Coturnix japonica: one gene and its partners. The protein of the gene in region 1 interacts with the protein of each later gene in a pairwise test. Links are inferred from orthologs where the notes say so. Each region holds a gene or a part of one and is shown on either strand. Other genes may lie near its edges. The genes, in order: GLP1R, CD81 and SLC15A4.

Evidence for each region.
Region 2: the proteins of GLP1R (region 1) and CD81 interact in a protein complementation assay, tested with the Homo sapiens proteins (2 studies listed by BioGRID). The link is inferred for Coturnix japonica from reciprocal best matches to the Homo sapiens genes GLP1R and CD81.
Region 3: the proteins of GLP1R (region 1) and SLC15A4 interact in a protein complementation assay, tested with the Homo sapiens proteins (2 studies listed by BioGRID). The link is inferred for Coturnix japonica from reciprocal best matches to the Homo sapiens genes GLP1R and SLC15A4.

The regions. Positions count from the first base shown.
Region 1 is NC_029518.1:26,283,716-26,287,361, reverse strand, and holds part of GLP1R (glucagon-like peptide 1 receptor), read left to right. Parts: intron 1-3,241; coding exon 3,242-3,395; intron 3,396-3,646.
Region 2 is NC_029520.1:10,912,415-10,916,860, forward strand, and holds the start of CD81 (CD81 antigen), read left to right. Parts: upstream 1-1,564; 5' UTR 1,565-1,635; coding exon 1,636-1,701; intron 1,702-4,446. UniProt on the Homo sapiens protein: Structural component of specialized membrane microdomains known as tetraspanin-enriched microdomains (TERMs), which act as platforms for receptor clustering and signaling.
Region 3 is NC_029530.1:3,167,825-3,172,100, forward strand, and holds the end of SLC15A4 (solute carrier family 15 member 4), read left to right. Parts: intron 1-2,276; coding exon 2,277-2,425; 3' UTR 2,426-3,683; downstream 3,684-4,276. UniProt on the Homo sapiens protein: Proton-coupled amino-acid transporter that mediates the transmembrane transport of L-histidine and some di- and tripeptides from inside the lysosome to the cytosol, and plays a key role in innate immune response.

The DNA of each region.
Region 1 (3,646 bases):
TCTTCTTAGAGAGTTCTGTCTTTTTTGAACCAGGGAGCCCAGAACTGAACACAGTATTCCAGATATGGCCCATGTGGGGTGTATTTCAATGCAGAGAAGGACTCTTGCCACAATCTCTTGTTGCAGAGCTTTCAGGAAATCTTATTTCTTTTGCTATGTGGAAGATAAATTAATTGAAATTTGTAAAGTTTTCGTGAAATATATTGCTGTCACTTGGTCACATTAGCATACAGGCTTCATCCAGTAATGCACCAACACATTGCACAAAGTACTTCAAAATTAAGAAACTCCAGTCTCCCTGAATTGGTTCCTACATGTTGATGGTACGTTGTGTAGGTTTGATTAAAAGAAAAATAAAGCCTTTAGCCTCCAATAAAACAATCTCTTTTTTGTCTCTCCCAAATTGCAATAGGTATTTCACTGATTCCACTCAGATTTTCTTATGGCATAGAAACGCTGAGCACAGGGTTTTAGAAAATGCAAAGACATAAGCCTACTCTGGTGTAGGAGGGAAGCCACTCTGTCATGCAGTCTTGCTCCTGGATGCTGAATACACCTGGATCTCACCATCCTGATTACATGTTGATGAGACTGCCTCTGAATGTATTTTCCTGTCTCACAGTTCTGTGCTCTGATCCTTAAGAGATTTTCTTGCCTAGTAAATAATTCTCATTGCCAGTTACTGATTGTTTGCTCTGAAAGCAGCGCTCTGTTAGCAAGGCAGTCCCTCACCTGTCCTCCCTCCTACATACTTATATACCTCATTGCATTTAAAAACATCAGTCATACCTCCAGCTTCTAATCCCCAAAGCTAAAGTAACCCAAGCCTTATAGTACTGTGCAGCACCTTTTAGCATAATCTTATCCCTTCTCTTTCTCAAAGAAGATTTAAAATGACTGCAGAAATGTAGACAAGCTCATACACTGAGTCCCATGTAATGATAACTGTGATTTGTAGATGTTGTGGCCATGCAATATGGAATTCACCCAGCAGAACACCAGATGGTCTTGAATTCTCCAAGCGTTTCCCAAGATGAGAGCATCTGTAAGGTGGATTGATACAAAGATGTTAACCAACATTCAAAAAAATTATTTAAAAGGAAAAACTCACCAATAAGGGTTCCTTCACTGGGAAATGCTGAGGCAATTTCCACCAGGGAGCAATCTCCAAGAGATGTTGCCTTAGTGGTGGTCAGCCCTTAAATGAGGTCTAGAGGAGGTGGAGTCCATCTCCACCCCTTCCGGGAGTACAGCTAAATTACTCTCACTTGTGCTCCCACAGCTGACCCAACACTTGCATCAGCTGATTAATCAGAGGTTCAGGCTGTGATTACCAATTTCCCATACAGATTCCTTCCTGTTTTACCCATCAGTGACACTTTTTGAGTAATCTTAGCAGCCCAGGTATAAAAGTCACAGAATGCAACCATGTTCTTATTGAAGGAAGAGTGTACATGGTTTTGACAGGTTATAAGGAGCATGCTTGCTGTAGATGACTGGTAGGAGAAAGGAAATTCTGATGCACTGCTTTTTGTGGAGAGATTTTTTAGCAATTTTCCTTAAGTGGAGAAGCAGTGACTAGAGCAGCGTGCTCAGGTGTCTGTTTCTGGCTTTGCAAATAAAGTTTCAGAGGTATTAAGGAGTTTGTGAGCCTTACTATGCCATCAAACTATTTTTTTGTTTTCCCATCTAAATTGACTGTCTGAAGACAACTTCTTCCTCATAAAAACATAGGGTGCTCCCCCTGTTTGACCCCAGTTAGTGGATTCTGGATACTGATTGGAATGTGGCTCATTCCTATTGGTTGTACAGTCTCATTAGATGAGGATAGAAATTGAATTCAGTGGCATCAAAATGCTGATATTCACCACTTCTGTAATAGGGAGGAGTTAGTAAGTTCTTATACAACAGAGCAATTCTTATATTTGCTTTTTGTAATGATTCTAGAGAGTAATGTATCTCTAGTGTCCAATTTTCCATCTTCTGAAATTGAAGTAAAATCTGTAATTTCAGTGATGGAAGCTGAACCAGGCCCATAACTTCGTGAATTGGGCAATTTGAATAGCTTGCATTGACTACAGCAGAAATAGTAACTACTTCAACCTATTATCTTCAGTTGGTTAGTTTACATGCATTTGTCAATTGGATTTAAATATATGGCAATTCTGAAGTGTAGCAACAAATAAATTTTGAATTAAACAAGAATAAACATTAATCATGTGTAAGTTTTGCAATAGGCGGTGACCTAAATGTGATACAAGCAATTCTAATTGAATTATATATTTTTAAATTAAAATATTCTTTTTCTTAATTTTAAAACTGATAGTATTCAAGACCAAGCCTGATTTTTTATATATATATATATATATTTTTTAAGCATCAAAGAGAGACTTATAGCTAGTGTTGCTTCCTTTGAAACAGAATATGTACCTCTGCAATTCTGGAAGAAAAAAGTCTGTGGGTGAGGCTGGTAAAGCACTAGCAGCACTCTGCAGTTGGTTGCCATTTACATGACTGCAGTTTCCTTTGCTATCCTTTAACATGCTCTTTTTGATAAGTAGCAATTTTGTTGTCTTTACAGCTGTGACTGCCGAAATTCAAGAGGATTTTATCTTTTCCTTTTTTTGGTTTGTTTTCAGTTCTGAGTGAAGAGGAGGAAATCTTGTTCCCTTTTGTTATGCAGGAGATATTTACAATTCCCCTTGGAGGCAATTTGAATACAGCTTTTTCTCTTGTCAAATTGATAATTTACAGGTGGATTTATTTATTTTTTTTTCACTGGGAAAGGGATGCTTGAACACAGCCCAGAAACTGTAATGTACAGCAGTACCTGAGCCAAAGTAAACCTGTTCAGTGACACTGGGATCACTGGGGTTCAAAGGGGTTAAGTACAGCATTATGTGGAATTAGAATAGTTTTAGTCCTTTCAGATATTTCTTCTGAAAATGAATTTATTTTCACATTTTTAGAACATTTTTAACAGATTTTTCTTGTGTACCCGTCTTTTCCCTTCCTTCAGACATTCTCCCTTAAAGCTGCACTTTTTAATATCTTTTCCTCCATGACAGTGATTTCTTCCCAAAGACGATTTGAAATGCCCCCAGCCATTCTTAAGTTACAGGATTTCCTCTGATCCCTCATGATTTTCAACAGAGCTCGTTATGCCCGACCTCAGTCCTATCTGTGATACTGCAGCTTTTACACCATTAGTGGATCATGACTGATTCTTCCTTTTTTACAGACATCTTCATTGCACAAGGAATTATATTCACCTGAACCTCTTCACCTCTTTTATCCTCCGTGCTATATCTGTCTTCATTAAAGACTCAGTGGTGAAGTGGATGTACAACACAGCCACACAAGAGCACCAGTGGGAAGGACTTCTCTCCTTCCAGGTAGGGGCAGACACTGTGGTTATTATGAGGATATTGGAGTCATCATAGTGGTGTGTCTGCATCACAGCTGGTAATTTCAGTTTGTGCACCTAGGCTTGTCCAAAATGATGCTTTTTTCGGTCTGTAATTTCTCTGAACCTTGCAGCACAATGTATGTGGTTGTGCTTTTCAGAACTTGTTGCAAACAGTTGATGTCATGGTATATTTTATCATCCTCTGGTAGGTTTGCCCTTCTAAATGGAACAAGTATG
Region 2 (4,446 bases), on another chromosome or scaffold:
GTTGTGTGGGGTTTTTTTTTCAGTACAGAGGTCAAAGTTTTCAAGCATGCTCGGCTGAGCTGCCTGGAAGCAAATAAATTGATAGAAGACTGAGATGTTTGGATAAAGTTTGAAATACTTCCCCACTGCCAAGCCACAGAGAGGTTCAGATGGGATCTGTGACCCTTGAGCTGGAGCCCTGGACAATGTATGGTTCAGGCATGGGGATGCCCTAGCAGTAGGAGCACATTAGCTCTGAGACAGATTGTTTAGCATTTGGAGTGTATGAAAAGTTTTGTTTCTTGTTTGCTACTTCCCATAGGTTAAGGCAGAAAGCAAAAGCCATGATACCACCTTCCAAATATCCCAAGCTCCCCATAGGTGGCTCCAGTGCCAGTTTGGTGGTAGTGATTGCAGTGGGGCTGCCAGCTTCCCAGCACACAGACACTGATTTGAGTGTCTTTCCTTCCTAAGCCCAGCTCTGGCTGTGCTGCTGCTGAAGCCTTATCAGTTTGCATGTGGTTCTTTCCCTTCCCTGCAGCAAACCCTGCTTGTTTTGGGCAGAAATCAAGGCATTGTGGGATCCTGTGTCATAGCAGGGGAAAAAAATTGGGATCCTGTCATTATCTTTTGGATCAACAGGCAGGATCCAGGCAGGATTACACCTACAGCCAACGATTCAGTCTATCAGCTGGTGCATGAATACCCCTGTGAGCCTCCAGCTTCACTGGTAAGGCCAAATGAGTAAATGGGGCTTAGAAACAAAGGGTTTATGCATCCATGGCAAGCCCACGATTAGGGGATGCACTCAGTAATTGGGGAACTGGTTTGGCTTCTGTTCTGCCTCAGTTCTCACTGGGTGCTCAGCAGGTGCAGAGGGCAAAGCAGGGTTCGACAGGCACCAGGGGTGCTGTCTGAGCACTTGAACTCATTTCTACTTTTTTTCTTTGTTTTTCTTTTAGACACATAAGGTCCTGCCTTCGATCAGGCTTTTGTGTTCTGAGTTCTGTTCTGACTTTTTGGTACCCCAGCCCTAAAAAAAAAAGCAACCATGCCTGCTGGTTGCACAGCAGGGTGTGAGCAGGCTGTGTTTCTAGGGATGCACAGATGAACCAAAGTGAGGTTAGCCTAGAAGGTGAGGAAACTTTCTGCTGGTTCTGTGGTGCTGCTTTTTGGCTTTTAAAATTCAACTTCCAAGCTGCAATGTGAGGGATACTAAAAATGTCAGCGCGTGTGACACAGATCTCTTTGATGGTGAGCCCTGAAATACCCCCAGATGGATGGGGAAAGGAGCAAAGCAAGCACGGTGAGTGCTTCTGCACAATTTGGAGGTGATCTTTTGGGTGGTGGGTTGTGTAAGGCTGAAAGGAAGCATTGGGAAGATGGGGGTGAGTTTTAATGTAAGAGCAAGTGGGAAAAGGGAAGGTGCGGGGGTGGGAAGGCTACAAGAGGGGGGAAAAAAAGAACAGGGGAAGGGAGAGGGAAGGGAAAAAGCAATCGAAAGGAAAAAGAGCGTTAGAGGGTGGGACCCGGAGGGCCCCCGCCGCTCGGGAGAGGCGGGCAGGGGGCGGCCCTTCCTAGCGCTCCCTCCCTCTCTCCCTCCCCGCCGCCGCCCAGCTTGGCCTCAGATCGGGAGCTGCTGCCGCCGAAGCCGCCATGGGGGTAGAGGGCTGCACCAAGTGTATCAAATACCTGCTCTTCGTCTTCAACTTCATCTTCTGGGTAAGCCCCAGCGCGATGAGGGCGGTTGGGCTGTGCGTCCTGCTAGAGCCGGGGTATTTTCTATTCCTTTTCCCCCACCGGCCAGCCCCCATGTTGAGCTTTGCACCCTGCTATCAGGGCTTTTTGGTCGGCGGGGTGCGGGGATCATTTATCCTTTGGTTTTTTTTTATGCGCGCTAACGCAGCTTTATTTATTTATGTATTTATTCATACGGCACATCTATATGCACTCACGTAGATGGATGTATTTTTTAATGTATGTGCATCCTCTGCGCGAGGGCGGGGGTTCGGCTCTCTGTTCTCTCCCCGCACGTCCTGTTGCCGTGCGGTTTTTCGATTGCTGAGGGCTGGATGGGGTGAGCCCCCCCGTGCGGAGGGGATGCGTAAAGCAGGGGAGGTTGGGGCTGGCGCTGCCCCTCGCAGCCCTGGCAGCGCTTGGAGCGGGCTGGGTTAGGGCTGGGCGCTGCCTTTGGGAACTTAGTGGAGCCGGCGGATATTCCCAAGGTGCTGAGGTTTGCTTTTCTGAGAAAGTTTCTCATGTAATAATTCATCTGCCTGGGCATGGTGGTGGCAGCGGGTCCTCCTGCGGGGGAGGAAGGTCACCGTTAGCGTTCCTGTCCGTTTTTCCCAATTCTGGGTCAGACGCCGACGCGTCAGGGAGCGGTGGAGGCGCTCCCGAATCCAGCCTGGTTTGAGACTCTGCTTTGCCTTTCTTCTCACATAGCGGTGACCGAGGAAGGCTGACAAACGGTGACGACAGCGGCATTAATTGATATCCGATGCTGTGCCAGCTGCAGGATGAGCTGGGACCGTCCTCCTCCCTCTCTAGGCAGCAGGACAGGGCTGTGTCTCCCTGGGCTGCTCCCCCACGAGCTTCGGTGCCTATCCGGGGGCTTTGCTTCCCTCCTGCTCCAGGCTTCCTGCCATTCTTGTTGCAGAAGTGTGGATGCAGAAAGGAAGGGTCCCATGGGGACAGGAAGGATGCAGAAGGGCCCTGTGCTGCTGCTGCTCCTGGGGAGGCTCCCTCACTCGTGCTATATACCTAACTCTTAGTAAACCATCCTTTTACTTAAAAGGGGAACTTCCAGATCCATTTTCCTTCCCTTTATGGCTTTTGGTTCCTGCTCTCCAGGGCTTGCCAGCCAGCAGTTTATTCCGGGGGCTTTTCATGAGGCTGGGTGGCCAAACAACAGGTCTGATGGCTTCCATAAGCTGGAGTCGAGGGTAATTGTAAGGTTTAGCGCCTTATCAGTGCGGTGAGCAACACGTCTCATGCCTCCAGCTATGGGTGGGGGATGCTTTGGTCGTTACCCCATCGTGAAGACCTGAGAAAGTTTTATGTTCAGAGGGAGGAAGCAGCGCTGAAGCGCTTGTCGCAGGGTGCCCGTGCTGCTGGCAGCGCAGCTGCCTGTGTGTCCCAGCCCCTGGGAGATATGGGATGAGGGGCTTGGGGCAGTGTCGATGCCAGCCATTTGGTATGCGAAGGCTGTGGAACTGCTCTGTTGCTTGTTGTGTGCTTGGCGCTGAGTCGAAAACAAGCGCGAGGCAGAACTGGGAGCTTGGCAGACACCAGGGCTTGGCCGCATGCTGAAAAACAGCTCACTCCGGGGGAGGAAAGGAAGTAATTCTAAGCCTTGCTGTGTTAACAAGTAAGAAAGAAGCTGATAACTTTTTGAAGTGGCCTCGTTGTCCTGCTGGGGTGTAAATAAACGGACACCCCCGTAGCAGCACAGGGACATAACAAAGCCGCCGTGTTGGGAAGCAAAAGTAAAATGTTGCTTCAGCACCAGTTGCCCTGGGCGCCTTGGCAGCAGCCCCGTCTGCCTGAGATTTCTCTCTTTTGGGGGCCGTTTTTCCCTCGTGCTTTAGGAAGAACCGGGCTGTTTTGCTGGCTGGGGCATGCAGCTGGGCCACGATGGCTGTCAGGGAGCACACATAAGATTGCACGCACGTTGCCGATGTGTGCTGAAGGGTGCTGGGAATGAGAGTCCTGAGGCTGCTCAAAGCTTTCTGAAACTCTGGAAGACCTGTGGCATGTCCAGTAGAGTTGTGCTGGGTTGTAGTGTGATGAAAGTGGGCAGACATCACTAGGGTGGTGGAAGAGGACAAAGGCAGCTCCAGGAGAGCTTCACCCCACTAACAGAACACAGGGATAATAAGGAAAAGCTTTTATGTGCCACGAGCTTGGCCTGAAACCTCAGTAGAAATACTTGAATCCCATTTCTGTTATTTCTTGCATGGCTGAATTAGGCAGTATACTTGTGATATTTGAGAGCCACAGGGAGCAGTGACTTTTGGGAGATGGCCAGCTGTCCACGAAAGGTGCTGGGTTATTGGATGGTTGCTGAGCGAGCTGCCAAGCTCATGCCCTGAGGCACTGCTGGTGGAAGGGTCTCAGCATGGTTCAGGTTGTGGCTGGTACATTGAGCTGGGGCCACTTTTATATAACCTGAGAGGCCAAATGAGGCCCAGTAGGTCTTTCAACATGTGATTAAACATAACTAGAAAGGAATCAGCCTGCTCTCACCCAGCCCATCAGCTAACATGCACCTCCAGGCCCAACACACTGCCGCCTGCTCTGGTGAGGGGTCTGGTTCAAAGAGCTCACTTTTGGCATGGTAGTGGCAAGTTGATGGTTGGACTAGATGATCTTAGTGGTCTTTTCCAACCTTAATGATTCTATGATTCAGTCCTCCCTTCCATGCTACACACAGCTATTTTCTCCTATGCTTGCTGAGTTGTCTGT
Region 3 (4,276 bases), on another chromosome or scaffold:
AAAGTCAGATGGTTTCTTGAGAAGCAGCTGATCTTTGTGCATGTAGAACTGTTGAATCTTACTACTTAGAAAATACATACTTGTCTACTGTTATATTAAGGACTACATTTCATCTTGCATATAGGTCTAAACTAATGTGACAGTACAACACAATACATTGTCCTCATGAAAGCATAGGAAACACATGTTTAGTATTTTGTCAAAGTGCCTGAAGTACTGAAAATACTTTCTAGAGATAAGGGGAATAAAATGTACCCAAATCTTTCTTACTGATTATTCAGCTTCTTAGTTTCAGGAGACTTTGTGGCAATTACCATGAGTTAATTTTGCCATTTCTGTCTGCTACCAGTTTTTACTCTTTCTAAATCTAATGGAACTTTTGCTTTATATTGCCAGTTGAAATTAAAAATAATTATTGGCACCAGTAGGTGGCACTTTGGGAATTTCAGAAAATCCTGCCATCATCAATGGTTTAATTAGTTCCAACAGAAGGAAAATGAGAAGTCCTCTAAACGTATGCCAGGCCTTCCGTGTATAAATGGTTTAGAATTGCATTAAAATCAGTATGAGAGAATTTTCTGTTTGATTTGGTTTTACCGATAAGTAATGTTTTCTGGAAGGCATCCTTATTTGATAAGGCATTCTTGGGGAAAAAAAAGCAGAAGATGACAAATAGCTTTGGCTTTATGCAAGTGTCCTCACCAAGGGGAAGTTTAACCACGTCTGGCTCATCAGGGGTGCTTTCCGTGTGTAGCATGTTCTATTGGTACTACTTTTAATCTTTATATCAGGAGAGTAAACAGATCTGCTGCTGCTGTTTGATTTGGTCTAATGCTATTGAAAGCCGTTACCAAATTCTCATAATAAATTTACTTAGGCCTTCAAGAGCAGGAATGGAAGGAGAAGACTTTATTGAATGAAAGACTCCTGATTTTTTTTAATTAGTTGCTATGTAATAACTATAAGCTTGTACACCAAGCTTATGCTATTAGAGCCGAATCACTGTGCCATTTGATGTAACTACCTGCCTCCAAAATCTACTGTCAGATTTTATTCTCTGCTGGCACGTCGGTGTTGATTGCTGCCTTTGAAATGGCTGTTATTTCTCTGACACAAACTTGAGGTTTCATGGGTTTAATATCCCATCTCATAAAGGATAATTACTACTTTTTAACCACATCTGCTCTCGAAGTGGAGATCCGCACATATATATTGTATTTTAAATGTCAAGGAAAGACTTGGTTTAATTTTATCGCATTTTACTAGAAGTTCGTTTAATTGAATCATAAGTTTCAGTAATTAAAGTAATTTAATCAGAACATTTATAGGCACACTGCATGAACAGCTTGTTAGGATGGATCTACACTTCAGTATTTTTACACCTTCTGACCTTTGTGATAATCTTAATGGTCTCATTGGCTGTGGCTCATGTGGCATGTTGGAAATGAGCCACGATATATTTGTTCTAAAAGTACAGCAATAGTGGATATTTCTTAATAGAGGAATAACATTTTAGCAATGAGCTTTCTTAATTTAACATTAATTAATGTGCTATAACTCACTCATTTATAACAACTTTGAGGGACTGTCAAAGGTGAATTGAACCAAAAGGAACCGTGTATCGTTTCATCAGTTCTTAACTTCGCTCCAAAAGAGGGCTGAGATAACCGCTGTCCTACATCTATAGAGCTGCCAAACTTCTTCCCTTGTACCATTCATTTTCTGATTCTTTTTATTTTCATTTGAAATGAGTTGTCTCCTGAAAAAGTGGATGTGATTTCTGTTACTTACATACATAGAAGTCATCACTGAGATTTTCAGCTGCTTTATTCGAGGTCAGCAAAGCATTGCAATTTTGCAGAATGAGATCTACAATGAAGGGGGAAGAATGGGAGATTATTTAAGTTTTAAGATTGGTCTGACTGGTGAATCATGCCTGTTGCTACATATGTACCGTCCTCGTTGGCACAAAGTTCTTACAGTGGTAGGAGTAACTTCCTGCCATTCTTTTTATAAGGGATGTAATGCAGTGAGACTCTACCTCCTTCCTCAGAGACATTACATGGTCTGAGGCACAGAGGCACAGAAGAAAGATTAAGTGTACTTTCCTTTAAAGTTCCATCATTTGTCCTGCATCATTGTGCTGTCAGGTGGAAAGGTGTTGAGGTCTTCCCATGTTTTGCAAGGAAGTCTTCACTACTTAAGCTTGAAGGGATTGATATTTTCACTTGTATATTTATTAATGTTTATTTTTTCCTTTCTATTTTCTTTTCTAGGTAACATTAATGGCTGCCAATTAAATTATTACTTTTTTTTACTGGCTGCCATCCAAGGAGCAACCCTCTTGCTTTTCCTTATTGTTTCTGTGAAATATGATCATCAAAAATCAAAGATGAATGACGTAGCTGCCAATGGAAGGATCTGATGTCTGTCACAGAGCGGATGATTACAGCAGCTCATGCTGAATCTGTGAGATCTTATGTTTTCTCCGGAGAGACTCTTATTAGACTTGCATGTTACAAGAGTTCTCGCCCCTGCCCCTCTCAGTTAACGTGGGTAAGTGCCTTATGTTGGTGGGGCTCATTTCTTGCACTATGTCCTGGCAGAGGACAAACACAAATCTTGGAAGTGTATTAACTCTAGGCATTCAAGTTGCTCTTTGTAATCATGTGATGTTTACTAAACTCTTGAAAGCTGGGGACTTATGCTTGGATATTGAATGCAGCGAGTCACGTGTGGCATGGGTTAGTCCTGAGTGAGGAACTGCTAAGTGAAATATCATGGATCTACAGAAACACTCAGCTGTCTCAAGCCCACACTGAGGATGCATAGGAAAGAAAACATTTCACAAGAACCTGAAGTAGCAGTTGCAAGAACAAACATACGTAAGCCATGAGAGTTGATTTTCTTGGGAGAAGCAGGGACAAATTAAGTTGCAGATCAGCTGTAATTAAAAAAAACGACATTATCATCTTTTGCTGGAAGTGAACTCAGCCATGAAGATCCAAAGTTACAGTCAAGAGAGTCCAAGACTGAAGGCTGAGTTGGCAACGTGCTGACTCTATGTGTTGCAGTAGCTTGGCATGCAGCTGCTCTAAGTTCTGCTGCATAGTAAACATTTGTTGGCAGTGAAATGGTTTTACTTCAGAATTGGTTTTGAGTTTGCATTGGGTGTATTAGGCCAAAATGAAAACATACATCTTTTGACAGGGTATTCTTCAGTCTGTTACTTCCCTAAGGAGTATTTTAAAGGACTGAGATGGAATTCTCAGAAGATGAATGCGCAAGAACGATTTAGAAGCCTTTTGAGCCAGTTCCTTCAGTTCTGTGTCTTAGTTCTGGCTACCATGCTGCAGGGTTTGCATCTTTCAGCAACACATTCCTATAGCAGAGCAAATGGTTTCCCATTTGGCCTCCTGAGTTTGAATCATTTTAACAATGGATTGTGTGCAGGCTGGTATGGAAGATGGTATTTTGCGAAGATTAATGTGGAAAGAAAACAAAAACTCAACTTTTTATTAATATATTGGATTTTATAGTTTCCTTTGCATTTATGTTGTTAAAATGTCCCTTTTGTTTTTGTACATGGGCATCTTTTTAATGAGTTTACAAAATAAAACAAAACTTCCTTGCTGTGACTTTTGACCCTTTGTTTCTAGGTGAATAAAATTATCCTACAACTATTCTGGTTTTTAGCCTTAATTTCCTCAACATACAGTGAGATCCTATTAAGTGTCAATGTGCATTGACATCCCATTCATTTTGTCAGCTCATGTAAGAGTACATGTATTGTCTTTGCCAAGATAAATCAGGGGAAATAACAGAATAGAGTTCTTTCTTGAATAGATACTGTTTCAATTATTCATTATTAAGTGTTTCTTCTGCTGTTAGATATTGTCAGCTCTGGTGTCCCTTCTTAATCCTTTTCCAAGAAGTGAATTTCATCTCACTGTTTTTCTCCAGTCTTCATATTTTTAACAGTGTTCATAAATCTCTGATTTGATGCCACTCTGCTCCAACCTGGTTACACCAAGTTAAATGAAGTTTACCAGAGAAACAAGAAGTCTAACACTGTGACAGCCCACACAGGCAAGCTTCTGAGAAACATCCAAAGTTCATATGGATTACTTAAGGAGGAGTTCAATGAGCGAAGACTAGGTTAGTCTACACGTTCTTTAGGCAAACAACTTTCACCCTGTCACAAGCAATACAGTAAATATCTGCAGGTTTCTGTATGGCTGTGCAGGTTCTTATAGTCCGGAGATGTCTGAACGTG